4 linked regions of the Mus musculus genome follow. The protein of the gene in region 3 interacts with the protein of the main gene of each other region in a pairwise test. Links are inferred from orthologs where the notes say so. Each region holds a gene or a part of one and is shown on either strand. Other genes may lie near its edges. The genes, in order: Zyx, Abi2, Vasp and Trim9.

Region 1 (4,223 bases), on a different chromosome or scaffold from region 3:
AAGGGAGCATGTGAGAGAAAGCTGCCTAGGTTAACTGGCTGGAAATTTCCGTTGTTTTCCAGGCTGGAACTTGGAAGTAATACTGAGAACTATATAGAATTTTCAGGCATGGCATGTTATTTATCTCTTCACATAAAGCAGCAGGCAAACGAACTAAATGCCATCCCTTTTACAATGGAGGCAATGAAACCGAATGAATGAAAAATCTTGTCCACTGAGTTGGAAACCAGGCTCCCTGACCTCACGGAGTTTCTCCATCTTTGCCAACAGGGTTAATTAACTCTGACCTGAGTGCAACCCTTGGGGCCGTCTTTTCAGGTAACATCCCCCAGTTTCTTATCCTAGGTTCATGGGGTTAGTTTGCATGCCCCTAAAGCATAGCTCAAGGACATATACTGACCAACCATACTGGACAGTAGGGTGCAGCAGATGGGGAGCGCCAAGGTTTGGAGCCTCAGCCAGGGATGACAGGGCGAAACCAAAGGAAGCACCGAGGGTTGGATATTGGACTAGAGGCTCTAGCTCGTAACTCTATAATTTGGACGAAGTTTCCGTGTGTTGTTTAAAAAAAAAAAAAGAAGAAGAAGAAGAAGATCGGAAGGGAAAGATGCAAGATTAAGAAAGTAAGAAAAGCAGACACCAGCTTAGTCATATCTCTTTCATGTAGCCTGGGGCAGTCTCAGGCTGAGGAATCTGGTAGGACCAGTGGGGGGCTCCACCGAGCTTTGTCCCGGGGCGCGCTGACAACCCAAAGACTCTTGAGGGACTGGGAAAGGCTTGCTGAAGGGATCCTCAAGGACTAGTCCCCGGGGGCTATTTGGGTCTTCCTAGGTTGTCTGACCACTCGCCCTGACTTCGCCCTTGTACCTCCATTCCTGGACTCAAAGCACTGGACTCTTGTCCCCGGGGCAATACTATTGCAGGCGGGTCTAGGGCAAAGCGAATTCCTAGAAGCCTTAAGAGGCTGCCTAGCTCAGGAAGTTAGCATTCCCCCAGCTTAGGCTCCTGCTCACACACTAGTGGGTTACAGAAGGCCGGCCTGGGAGCCAAGTGCCCGCAGGGCCAACGTCCCTTCACCATCCCCCGCCCACCCAGGAGTACAGTTCCATCCCAGTCCTGCGTTCCGGGACTGACCACAGGACACGTGGGACGCGGAGCTGAAGCTGCAGGGAGGGGCGGGGTCGGTCAATGGCAGGCAGGCCCGGGGTGCGCGACTGAGCTGCTTCAGGACCGCTGGGATTACTAGCCAGCCTGCTCAGCCTGGAGTGCGGACAGTGAGTCAGTTCTCCAGCACTCGCGGGTCGGGAGGAGGGAGGTGGGGTAGGTGGCAGGTCAGGAAATGACATCAGAGGCCTGTGCTGGGGAAGGGTGGTCTGTGCCCGGCGGGGGCGGTGGTGAGTAGGGAGGCCGCAGGCGGACCTTTGCAGAGCCTGGAGCCCGGGGCAGGACCTGGGCCCCTTCCTGGGGGAGTTTCCTGTCGGGTCCTCCCTCCCCGGTCTCTCCCCGCCCCCTCTCCGGGCCGCTCCTTGTATGGTCTGGGCGCCGCTCTCTCCCCGCCCCCTCCCTCCCTTCCCGTGCACGACGTCCCTCCCCGCTTGGCTAGAAGCGGCTCCGGACCGGGACGCAGAGTCCGCGGACTCGGCGCCGAGGCGGTCATCCGAGACGCGCCTCTCACGCTCCTGCGCGCGGTGAGGAGCGGGGAGAAGCTCCGCCGCCCCGGGAAGGGGACGCGGGGAGGCGCGGGTGGGGTCACCGAGGGGCGCTTAGACCGAGGAGTGTCAGTCCGACACCGCTCTGCGTAACCTGACGACCCCACCCCCTGCAGCCCGGCCTGGCCATGGCGGCCCCCCGCCCGCCTCCCGCGATCTCCGTCTCCGTCTCGGCCCCCGCGTTTTACGCCCCGCAGAAGAAGTTCGCCCCGGTTGTGGCCCCAAAGCCCAAAGTGAATCCTTTCCGGCCTGGGGACAGCGAGCCTCCTGTAGCAGCCGGGGCCCAAAGAGCGCAGATGGGTCGGGTGGGCGAGATCCCACCACCACCCCCGGAAGGTATGCGGCTGGGATTGGGGGCCCTGATCTTTCTCGGGCGCCAGGGGTGGGGGTCGGTGGTTTGGGGAATTTGGGGTTGTCTGAAAAGGCTGTTGCGGAGGGGGCTGGGCGCTGGGTGGCTACCCTGTCCTGAGCAGATGTTCTTACCTCATCTTGGAGCTCCTGGCTGGGAGCCAGGACCCTTGGGACTGTTCCAAGTCTCCCGCCTGGGGGTAGGAGGCGGGAATGTGGGCCAGGAATCTTCCCCTCTGGATCCGTTCTCTGAAGTGTAACGGGAGCTGCACGGTTCTTCAACCTGGCTCGTTCTCACTCGACCTGCTTCGCCCAGGGCATCCTGAGCCCCTCGTTATGGTCTGCACACACTCTTGGGATGCAGGAAAGAGTTCTTGGATTAGGGGTTAAAGCAGTCGTCTGAGGAGAGGAGGAAAGAGGGTCGGTACTGATAGCCTTTTCTCTCCTTCCTACCCAGACTTTCCTTTGCCCCCTCCTCCCCTTATTGGGGAGGGCGACGACTCAGAGGGTGCCCTGGGAGGTGCCTTCCCACCTCCACCTCCCCCGATGATCGAGGAACCATTCCCCCCTGCTCCTCTGGAGGAGGACATCTTCCCCTCCCCTCCACCTCCACTGGAGGAGGAGGGAGGGCCTGAGGCCCCTACCCAGCTCCCACCGCAGGTAGGGAGGGCTTGGAAGGGCAGCTTTGCTGGAGATGGGGTGGGGGACACCTCCATGGGCTGGAGAGGAGTGGGGTGACAAGGGAAGACTGGGATGGGTGCTCTGACCCTTGACCCTCCAGCCCAGGGAGAAAGTGTGCAGTATTGACCTGGAGATTGACTCTCTGTCCTCACTGCTGGACGACATGACCAAGAACGATCCCTTCAAAGCCCGGGTAAGGGGCAGGACAGTAGGAAAGTCTGGGCCTAGAAGGAGAGGAGGGAATGCAAGGAAGAGATGACAACCTCGTCTAAGTGCATTTCTCTCCCCTCTGCTTCTCCTTGCAGGTATCATCCGGATATGTACCCCCACCAGTTGCCACTCCATTTGTTCCCAAGCCTAGTACCAAACCTGCCCCTGGGGGCACAGCACCCTTGCCTCCTTGGAAGACCCCTTCTAGCTCCCAGCCACCACCTCAGCCGCAGGCCAAGCCTCAGGTCCAGCTCCATGTCCAGCCTCAGGCCAAGCCCCATGTCCAACCCCAGCCTGTGTCTTCTGCTAATACACAGCCCCGGGGTCCCCTTTCTCAGGCACCAACTCCAGCACCTAAGTTTGCTCCAGTGGCTCCTAAATTTACTCCCGTGGTTTCCAAGTTCAGCCCTGGTGCTCCAAGTGGACCTGGGCCACAGCCCAATCAAAAAATGGTGCCTCCGGATGCTCCTTCTTCTGTGAGCACAGGCTCCCCTCAGCCCCCTAGCTTCACCTATGCTCAGCAGAAGGAGAAGCCCCTAGTTCAAGAGAAGCAGCACCCACAGCCTCCACCAGCTCAAAACCAAAACCAGGTGAGGAGGCCACAGGCTGAGGCCAATGGACTGCAGAGTAAAAGGGCAAGAGGGTGGGGTAGAGAACCGGAGGAGCCAGAGTGGGTGTGGCGGTGGGGGAAGTGTAGGGTTATCTGGCAGGCCATAGAGAAAGTTCTGGAGGAAGTCTGGGGCTACCTGGGGCCTGGGTCAATCGGTAGAGCAGCTAGGGCTTAGCAGTAAGAGGATACAACTTTCCCTTCTGCCTCTGCCTTGGAGTGTTGAAGGGGAGAATGAGGTCACTAGCCCAACCTTAGTTTTTCCCATTCCTGGGCCTTGACTTAATCCCTAGGCTCCTGGGTTTTCTGAGCACTTTCATCGCCTGAGGGCCCATCTAGAGATTAAAGTATTGTCAGCACCAGTAAACATTTACTGGGCCAGCCTCAGCTGACTGCCAGGCACTGCTCTGTGCTATGGAGGCTGGGCCCGTGGGCACGAGAGACCTCTCCAACAGGTTCAGTCTTCTGAAGTCACAGGTCTAGGGTAGAATGTCTAGCCTGTTTCTCACAAGTCTTTAGACCCTAGTAACATTGGGTGAACTTTGAGCCTTCCCCCCCTCCCCACCTGACTTTGAAATAGCTACCCATCCCAAACAATGGTGAAGAGCAAGTCAGCTTATCTTCTTAGTCTAGCACATAAAAGCTCAAAATAGAAACAGACAGTACAG
Region 2 (3,567 bases), on a different chromosome or scaffold from region 3:
AACAGGTAGCAGCCACAGCATAAATTTTCTACTCCATAAATTCAATACTATGAGAGATGGAATGATTTGTCAGAGGACCTCACACAGGCTTAATTACCTCTTAGCCAAAATTAAAAATTAAACAGTACGTTAACATAATATATTCATGTAGTTGATACGTCTAAATTTTCTCTTGCATTCTCCAAGGAAGGAACAAAATACTATTATTTGTAGCATTAAATGTGCAAGGGTAGCTTTTCTATAATATATGATTCAATTCTTTATTTAATTTTTGTGAATCGATTTCTCCAAAGCCCACCACAGTATTGGATTTAATAACTATGTTAAGACAGTTTGACTGCCTAATGCAAAACACCTTTCTATACACCTACTTGTGTAATTCATAGAGCAATGATGTCTCATTAAACAAAAATACTATTCTTATATACACTCCACTTGAGTCAGGCTCTCATTCTGCAGCCTAGACTGGCTTCTCTCCTTGCCTCTGCCCCATGAATGTAGCTGGTCATCCTAGAACTCATTGTATACACTAAGCTGGCCTCAAAGTCAAAGATCCACCTGCCTCTGCCTCCCAAGTGCTGGAAAGATGTGCACCAGCATTGCCCCAATTCAGTACTAGTTTTTAAAAGCAAATTACTAGGCACACAGAAAACTATTCCAATGGAGGAAGAGCAGGATGAGCTCTTTAGCTTTACATAAAAATCATGTATTGACTTTTTAAAGTAAAAATACAGTAGTATTAAAAACTTAGTATTCATCCATCCTTCTATTCATTCAACAATAGTCTAAACTACCAAATGTGTCTAGGATAAACACCTATCATGTATGGGCTAATTATGTGTAACAAAAAGGTTTTGTTTTTTATGGTGCAATATAAAAGAGATGAAAAGAAATTGATAAAGAGAAATCTAACCTGGATTCTGGTTATAAAAAGGACCTCCATTCATCTGATTCTGAAGGCTTGTTTGTGACGTTATGGAAGGAGGACGTCTATAGGGCAACGAGCCCCCTATTGTAGGTGGTGTATGGCGAGAGGCAGGCCTGTTCATGCTGTAGAACTGAACAGGATGACCTGGAAAATGAACAGAACACAAACGCATCATTAAAGGAAACTCATCTCAAATAATGAAATTTTCTAAGTATATCATTCACTTTCTAGTAAGATTATTAAAAACCACAGTATCTATCCAAATTAATGAAAGATGACAGCTGATACTGTATTAAAGCATAAAGGTAAGAAAATTAAAATATTGCATTTGGAAAACTAACATCTAAATCAAAAGCTAACATTTTGACTTTCTTTTAATTGACTATTTTTTTAAAAGCACAATTAATTAAAATGTACAGACAGAATGTGTCCCAACACCAAGTCTCCAGTATAGCTAACTATTCTCACCCCAAGGGTCACACATCAGACAGCCTACGTATCAGATACCTATCTACATTATATTTCTCTTTTTTTCTTTTCTTTTTTGGTTTTGTGAGACAAGGTTTTCTCTGAGTTATCTTCCTTTTCTGGAACTCAGTCTGTAGACCAGGCTGGCCTCAAACTCACAGAGATCCATCTGCCTCTGCCCACCCCAATCCCCAAGTGTGGGGACTAAAGGCATGCACCACCACTGCCCAGCTACATTACAACTCATAACAGTTTTAAAATTACAGTTATGAAGTAGTAATGAAGTAATTTTACGTTTGGAGTCATGACAACTTGAGGAGCTGTATTAAAGGGTCACAGCCTTAGGAAGGCTGGGAAGCGTTGCCCTAGCACACCAGTGTTAAAAGACCACAGCTGTAAACAGTTATCAGGTCATAAGGGTTCTGTTCTCATGAGTAAGTAATACCATTATCAAAAGTGGATTTTCTCCTTTTTTATTCTATGTACAAAGTCTCTCACCAGATTAAGGAACCTTGATACTAGATATTCTGCCTCCAGAACTAATATAGTCAGACTAATATAATTTATAAATAATCTAGTCTACAGTATTGTTATAGGACACAAGAGATTAATTTCCCCCTCCTGTCCAAAAAATAATTATTTAAAGCAGCCATTAAACATTGGAGACTAAACGAAGAATTAAATTCTGGGGGAAAAAAACAAAAACAAAACAAAAAAATGTTTGATACAGCCATATTCTAAAATAGGTGGTGATAACAAAAAACACTGTTTAAAAGGAAACAAAATAGTTCAACAAAACATTTGATGCTTTAACGCCAAGTCAAACCCATCTTTATACAATTCAATATACTCATCTTCTTATAGCCAGATTGTGTCATAAAATAGTTTATGAAATCTGAATCAAAAATGATCATCACCCCAGAAACCTATCCATTTATAACTCATTTCAACCTATCTTACCTCTTCAGAGTTATACACTGCTAACATCAACCGGAAACATTCTTTCCTAATCCACCCAGTTTCCATCTATAACTCAAATCCGACCTTGCCTTTACCCTCACTTGGTGCCCACTCAGTCAGGGGCCCTCTTATATCAGGAAAAGGCCACCCATGAAAGAACACCAGCAAGCAACAGGGCATGCAAGGAAGGGAATGACAGGAAGACAGGAAGAGGAGGAGAAGCTATACCATGAGGGGAAGAGGAAAAAGGGGAAATAAAAAGGAGAAAGGGCAAAAGACAACAGGGAGAAAAGCATTGCCTAAGATCTTCAAAAAAGAAAACTATGAATTTTATAAAGTTGGATCCACTCTAAATTCTCATCAATATTAAGTCTATCAAGCACAGCCAAGTACCTATTATTATGTTATCATTTAACTGCTAAAATTAACTCTTAGTTAGGGGCCATTTATTATTTCTGGGCATTTGCAAGATTTCTCTTTTTAACTAGTTGGACTAGTGTAACAGAGTTGTATATCTCAACCAAATGACTGTCCATATTTTTACTCATCCATTACAGAAAAATCTTCATAAGGATTATTATAGAAGCTATCTAAATAGAATACCATTCAAAATCCAATTAGGACAAAGACATCTTTTAAAACATGTTTTATTAGTAGCCAGGTAGTAGTGGTACACACCTTTAATCCCAATAATTGGGAGGTAGAGGCAGGTGTGTCTCTGTAAATTTGAGGCCAGGCTGATCTACAGAATAAGTTCCAGGACAGCCAGGGCTACACAGAAAAACCCTGTCTCAAAAAAAGGATACATTTACTAACCAGCATCATATTAACAGTTAAATTTATTTTCCTATCCCAGCAAAATGTATTTGAGGTTAAAATCTTTTCTAAAATGATTGATTACATTTATTTATAAGGAGGGCACATTCATACAACAGAGAGTGTGCATGTGCGTGTGCGTGTGCGTGTGTAGATTAGAGGACAACTTATACAACCCTGGCTGTCTGGCTAGGCAGCAAGCCCTTTACCTGCTAAGCCATCTCCTTAGCACTAGGTTGAAATCTTAAATAAAACATCAGTCAACTTAAATAATCTTAAAGTCCTTTGAAGTATAATTTATGAGTTTATTATAAACATAGTTTGTAATTTGCTATATAAAATATTGCATTAAAATATATTTTTCAGGGGCTGGAGAGATGGCTCAGTGGTTAAGA
Region 3 (2,780 bases):
ACAATCCCCAGTACTGTTTTCACAGATTTTCCCCTGTAGTGCTTTTAAAACAAGAACAATGTGTCCTTGGATTTATAGTTTCTATGGATAGAACAGGGCTATCACTCACCACTCTGGGCAGGGAGTCGGGCCTCTGACTCCTCCTGTTGGCGGTAAATACAAGTATCATAAACTACCCTTTCTATGCCAATATTCAGGTCCAAAGCCAGCTCAGCCCTGTAACACCTCCTCCCTGCCCTAGGGTACTAGTGTACACCATAAGGAATATAGGGCAGGAAAAGCCCCCTACTTACACTGGCTGACTCGTCTTTGGGGGGCTTCTCCCCAACCTGTGTGGCTTTTCTTCTGCAGAGGGGCAAGCAAGGACAAGCTACAGTTCACACTCTGCCACTCAACAGGACCCCTTCCCACTGCTAAATTCCAGGAGAGGTTGGAAAGTTAAAGAAGGGGCCTGCAAGATAGCTCAGCAGAGAGAGATGCTTGTACCAGCAGAACCACCTGATTTAATCCCAAAGACCTCTGTGAAGGCTGATGGAGAGAACTGAGTCCTGCAGCTTATCCTCTAACCCCCACATAAACAGACATACACAGTGAATAAATAAATGTAGCAAGACTTTTAAAAAGAGAGGCAGGCAGATCTCTGTGAGTTCAAAGCCGCCCTAGTCTACACAGCGAGTGACTGTCTCAAAAAAAAAAAAAAAAACAACATGGGACAGAATGTATTACATGGCACAAGGCTGTAATCCCAGTATGTGAGAGGCAGAGGCGGAAGAGTCATCATTCTAAGTTCCAGCCTAGCCAGGGCTGAGAACAGCAACAGCAACAATCCAGTTCAGGGCTGCTGAGATGGTTCAGTAAGGAAGGGTGCTGGCTGTTAACCCTGACAACTTGACTCCTAGTCACAGAACCCACGTGGTGGAAGGAGAGACCTCTCTTCCGGGGAGTCATGGGCACACTCATATATACGATAAATAAAAAGAAATAGCTTGAAAATTTAAGGAAAAATCCAGTCCAGAGATTGTTCCTCTAGAATCTGGAGGGGTCCCCCATAATTTCCACATCTGGAAATCTTAAGCATTCTAAGGGCGACGAGGAGTTAGTTCCTAGGTCAGCAAGCTGGGTGTCTAAGAATCTAAGCTTTCAGAGTGTAAGAATCTCTCATGGCTCAAGCACTTTACAGTCTGTGAGCCACCTCAGGGGCTGAGTCTCCAGCATCGTGTCCTGGACATGGCTGTCATCAGGCAGCACCGCCACTCATAGACACAAAGAAGCTGAGTGCAGGTGTGTCATTCCAGCGCCCAGGAGGCCGAGGCAGGTGCATCGGGAGTTCAGCCTGGGCTAGACATGAGCGGCGGGGAAAGGAAGAGAGAGGACAGGAAGGGGAGGGGCCCAGTCAGCACTACAACAGCCTAACCCTGAAAATGCAGCATATAGCTGAATTCTGGGACTCAGGCTCACCTCCGGGCCAGCATGGCGTTCATCTCTTCCATAAGCCCCCCACCAGTGCTTCGACTGTTCTCAGCTTTGGGGGCCAGGGGCCCCCCAGAGGCCTCCTCCTGCTGAAAGAATGAAAAGGGGGAGAAGGCTTCACAGGTAGGCCAGGTGACCTCCCAGCCCTCTTGTGACACCTTTGGGGGACTCTGACCACCTCCCATTGTCCCCTCAGGGCTTCATCCCAGCCACTCCCTGGTACTTCCTTACCTTGCTCACTTTCCTGAGTTTGGCTCCAGCAATGGCAGCAGCCAGGCCTGGGGCCCCGGAACCCCCACTATTGGGGCCCTGTGCTGTAGGGAGTGGGGGTGCAGGGGGTGGGGCTGCCCCTGCTCCATGACCTGCCCCAGATACCCCTGAGGAGGGCAGACCTGGGGGTGGGGGGGGACCTGGAGGAGGGGGAGGTCCTGGAGGTGGAGGAGGGCCCCCAGCTGGGGGAGCAGGTGGGCCTCCTGCAATAAACACAGAGAATGGTCCTACTGAGAGAGAAGCCTGGCTTTGTGTCCTCCCTGCCCAACCAGCTCCTCCAGGGAGGTCCCCGTGACCCAGTCACGGCCATCACCTGCATTGGAGACCCGGCGCTCCATATGCTCCGGCTGCCTGTACGGGGGAGGGGGGAGAAAGGAGGCTGCTTCAGTCCCCAAACCAAGCTAACTGGTTCATCTCTCAGGTCACCAAGGAGGCTGGTGCCTCCCCTCCATCCAAGTCTGCCTTCCGAGGGCCCAGGGAAAGAAGGATGAGAACAAGGGGCAGGAGGCATGGATGGAGCCTGGGTACGTTCTTTACAACTATGCAAGCAGATGATTCCAAAGTGGCCATGGGCTCAGAAAGGTGGAGTCCTGGTGTGGAGTAGGGGCACGGGGGGGGGGGGGGGGGGGAAGAGGGGGTGGTACCAGCATGGTTCATTCCCTCATCAGATTCTTTTTGGGGAGGGGTTAGATTTTCTTTCTCTTTTTAGACAAGGTCTCACTGTGTAGCATAGGTTAGCCTAGAACTTTGTAGACCAGATGAAGTTCTAACTTGCAGATCCACCTGCCTCTGCTTTCTGAATGCTTGGAAAGGTGCGCACCACCGTGCTGATTTGTACAACAGCACCCCTGACTAATTTCTAAGGCCAGCCTGGAATTCACTACATAGGCTGGCCTCAAACTCTTGGCAACCCTCCTGCCTCAGGCTGAGATGACAGGTTGTATGCCACTACACCCATTTTTGCAGTTTCTTGTCTCTGGGGGCTTGGTAAACAGTGTCTGAGTGCCATCTACTTCTAGACTCTTGGCCCTCTGACCTTT
Region 4 (3,567 bases), on a different chromosome or scaffold from region 3:
AGACATTGAAGGGTCTTCTAGCAGGATACTAGCTGTGCTAAAAGCCTGGCCATCATAGTGGCCTTCCAAACCCAGGATACACAATACCCACTTTTAAAAAAAGGTTGGGGGGAGGGTACGTTTCTTATGGCTGAGGTCAAGGTGCTCATCTGCAGGTCACGGTCAAGTCCGTGGACAGAGATCAGATTAGCTTGTCTGTGAGTTCCAACCTATCTATCTGTGATTTCGGGAAAGGCTTTATAGTGGGAAGGAATATAGGCACTTAGGCTATTTCAACAATTTCTACTCTACCTCAAACTATGTGGAGAGTTATGGGAAACACTAGAAGCATATCATAAATATGGCCATTTCTACCTTCTTATCTGTATCACCCCCATCAAGAGTCTTTGTCTAAAGGCACTAGAACACCCTTGAAAATCCCGAAGCATGGCCAGCATGATAGTCTTTGGAAGGGAAATGGCTGAAAAGGTGAAAAACTTTGAACGAGGTTTTTCTTAGATTGACTCCTATAAAAATTTAAGGTTTTCTATCTCCTGGTGTACAGGCTGACCTCTGAAGAATTAGATTCCAGCTCCTCAGATAATCCCATCTCCTTGCAGGAAGCTGGAAATCAGGTCCCGCTGGGCTGTAAGCAGTTTCACTACCCCTACTCATAAACAGGAAACAACTTAAAAGAGCTTTTAAGACTGTGGCTGTAGCTAGGGCATGAACCCTACAGCGTTTGACTCTCAGGTCCTATTTTAAGGTTAGTGAGGTTTATATCGGGCAATGAGAAGCCCAAATCAGGATGGCAGTGAAGCCCTGAATTCTAACAGTGGTTGGCAGGGCATCACCCACATTCCTTGCATGCTATGAATCCCCTCTTTACCATTCTCTGCCCACCCAAAGCTCCTCATGCTATGCCTTCTGTTTTGAAATCTCTACACAGCTTGCTACCTTCCCTCCTTCAGGACTCAGATAAGCAGCAACTATAATAAGACCAGCTGATTGACCACCCCGCTTAAGCCTGTGGCTGTTTATTTAGCATGTTCCCAGTATTGCTGATCCCTTTGCCATACTCTGACCCTCTAACGTACCTTAGAAATCACATGGTTATGATCTGTAACCAGAATATAAGTTTCAGGAAGGTAAGGTTTGTATCTGTTTTTTTTTTTTTTTCTCCCGCTGATGGATAGCAAATATTTACAGTAGAGCCTGGCATGCTCAAAGAGCCCTGCAGATGGCTGTTGAATAAAGGGGCGAGAAGGACCCCTTGTTCTGTCTCTATGGGAAACTGCAAGTATCTAACTCGCAGGCGGGGCTACTGCTTCCCAGCCCTGTTGCACAATGAAGAGTGAAGGACAAAAAGCAGCTCACACTTCTGATAAGTGCCTAAGATTTGCTTTTCCTGGGCATTCCTGGGGCCTGGTAGGAGCCATCTCAGCAGCCAGTCTGTTGAAGTCATTCAGGTCTACTTAAAGAAGAAACTAGAGCAAAGGATAAATAGACAGGGTAGAGAAGGCGTCTGTCTCCCGTGGGTGGCTGACTGGGCTGTGGCAGGCACATGGGAAGGTGTCTTTGGTGTGTCTCACTCTGGGTCTTATACCAGCTTCCCTCACGGAGCTGGGGCTTGGGGGGATTTTACTGCCCCTGGGCAGACTTTGAAGTAGCAACCTGAGCAAGCCCTTAGTCCTGGGGCCCACAAGCTTACCTGCACATTCCTGTTCAGGCTGACAGCAGGGAAGAACAGGCCCTCCACGTTCTCAAACGCTATGGGGCCTTGCTGTTCATTGTTGACGAAAAACGTTAATGTCTTTCTGTTTAAGTCGAGGAGGACCCCGATGGTGGCCCCTTTTGTGATCCCTCCTTCAGTTCTGTGGGAAAAGGGAAAAAGTGGAATGTCGTCGGCTTGCTTTCATCTTACATCTCTCCCTTGTGGCTTGCTGGACCAGTCTGCATTCTTCCTTTGCTTTTCTTTGGTTCTGAGGGTTGAACTTGGCCCCATGTATAGTAGGTGAGTTTGCCGCTGGCTTTTACCCCAGCCCTCTTTTTTACTTTTTATTTTGAGACAGCATCTTACCAAATTGTCCAGGCTGGCCTTGAACTCCATGATAACTCAGGCAAACCTTAAACTTGTAGTCTTCCTGCTTCAACCCCCCAAGAAGATGGTACTATAGGCCTGTCCCACCAGGCCCAGTCAAACCAGAATTTTGATTCTTTACATCCCTCCGTTGGTTAGCTTTTTTTAAAAAAACACATTTTTTTTGCCCTAAGCAACACTTTTCACATAAAAACTTAAAGCCTTAGATACACTATATACTACTTATATTTTGTGTATCTGTGCTTTACATAATAAAATATGATTTAGATTTTTTTTTGCTCCCCCAAATTCCCACCCCCTGCAGAGACGGCCACCTCTCATGACAGTCTCTTGTTTACTGTGCCTTGCTGAGAGAGAATTGTTATAAATGGACTTTCTGCTACTGAGCTACAGCAGAAGACAATACCAAGACTGAGCCCAAACAGCCTTTTGGCTACCACAGGGCATCAGCTCTGCTCTGCACTTAGCATGTACAGTGTGACTCTAACAGCATTTATTACAAAATGACTTAATCAGAAAGTCACAATAAAGAAGTACTTAGGTCGAACCCAGGACATATGATAGGTACTGGACTCAGAGCCTTCTGCTTTCCATGGAGTAGTGGAACTCACTCTGGAAAGATGCTAATCTTTCAGCACAATGACTTTGAATGAAGACATTAGATTCTCTCTGTAAAATGACAGCATTGAAGGGGATACCTTCCTGAGACATAATTATACTATAGGGAGTTCAGTGGTTTCCAGAGATCCGAGTATAAACACCACCTTACAAAGAACTATGTCTTTTGATGCAGCTGTTGACTGCAGAGCACCATCAGGGACAGATAGCCAGATCTGTCTTCTCTCATCAGTGTGAAAGCTAGCAAAACTGAATCCTATCTCAGCAGAGCACAGACATTTATAAACATCACTCCTTTCTTCTGCATGCAGAAGACAGACTGGACACCACCACAGGCAATCTTGCTATTTACAAGCCTGTCAGCGACAGCACAAGCGACATTCAGTTAGCATGCAAGATGTGTTCGGCTTCTGAAATGTGCGTCTCTGCATCGCCGCGATGGGGGTGATCCTATTTACCCCTGCGCTCCAGAATCAAGAGGCTGATCACAAGTGCACGGGTGATGCTATCAGGTAGCTAGTCACAGAGTACCCCCAGTGTGAACTGCTGAAGAGACCTGCTATCTGTAGCCACTTGGATTTGATATCAATATAAAATGCTTTGTGTGCTTACTTCAAGGGATAGCCAATAAAACAGACATGAATGGAGCAGGACAGAGGATGTCCGAGGGCTGGGAAGCTCTAAGAATCTACTGACTAGCAAAGCATCAGTGGTGACTGACAGGAGAAGCTGAGAGAGTGAGGTCATTATTCTGCCCCTGTTGGGCCTGCTTTTCCTTTGATCTCACTGAACATAACTGGATCCCCCCCACCCCACCCCCAGAGCCACCAAAGAGAATGTTTCCTGGGGGGGTGATTAAGACAGACCAG

What was found.
Region 1: the proteins of Vasp (region 3) and Zyx interact in binary tests that used the Homo sapiens proteins (3 or more experiments, as listed by UniProt). The link is inferred for Mus musculus from reciprocal best matches to the Homo sapiens genes VASP and ZYX.
Region 2: the proteins of Vasp (region 3) and Abi2 interact in binary tests that used the Homo sapiens proteins (3 or more experiments, as listed by UniProt). The link is inferred for Mus musculus from reciprocal best matches to the Homo sapiens genes VASP and ABI2.
Region 4: the proteins of Vasp (region 3) and Trim9 interact in binary tests that used the Homo sapiens proteins (3 or more experiments, as listed by UniProt). The two-hybrid records come from large-scale screens. The link is inferred for Mus musculus from reciprocal best matches to the Homo sapiens genes VASP and TRIM9.

What each region holds. Positions count from the first base shown.
Region 1 is NC_000072.6:42,348,432-42,352,654, forward strand, and holds the start of Zyx (zyxin), read left to right. Parts: upstream 1-1,396; 5' UTR 1,397-1,688; exon of another isoform or gene 1,689-1,825; 5' UTR 1,826-1,837; coding exon 1,838-2,045; intron 2,046-2,514; coding exon 2,515-2,717; intron 2,718-2,838; coding exon 2,839-2,931; intron 2,932-3,043; coding exon 3,044-3,538; intron 3,539-4,223. UniProt on the Homo sapiens protein: Adhesion plaque protein. Binds alpha-actinin and the CRP protein. Important for targeting TES and ENA/VASP family members to focal adhesions and for the formation of actin-rich structures.
Region 2 is NC_000067.6:60,451,109-60,454,675, reverse strand, and holds part of Abi2 (abl interactor 2), read right to left. Parts: intron 1,073-3,567; coding exon 914-1,072; intron 1-913. UniProt on the Homo sapiens protein: Regulator of actin cytoskeleton dynamics underlying cell motility and adhesion. Functions as a component of the WAVE complex, which activates actin nucleating machinery Arp2/3 to drive lamellipodia formation.
Region 3 is NC_000073.6:19,259,123-19,261,902, forward strand, and holds part of Vasp (vasodilator-stimulated phosphoprotein), read right to left. Parts: intron 2,092-2,780; coding exon 2,054-2,091; intron 1,944-2,053; coding exon 1,702-1,943; intron 1,560-1,701; coding exon 1,459-1,559; intron 346-1,458; coding exon 294-345; intron 144-293; coding exon 110-143; intron 1-109. UniProt on the Homo sapiens protein: Ena/VASP proteins are actin-associated proteins involved in a range of processes dependent on cytoskeleton remodeling and cell polarity such as axon guidance, lamellipodial and filopodial dynamics, platelet activation and cell migration.
Region 4 is NC_000078.6:70,246,575-70,250,141, forward strand, and holds part of Trim9 (E3 ubiquitin-protein ligase TRIM9), read right to left. Parts: intron 1,854-3,567; coding exon 1,691-1,853; intron 1-1,690. UniProt on the Homo sapiens protein: E3 ubiquitin-protein ligase which ubiquitinates itself in cooperation with an E2 enzyme UBE2D2/UBC4 and serves as a targeting signal for proteasomal degradation.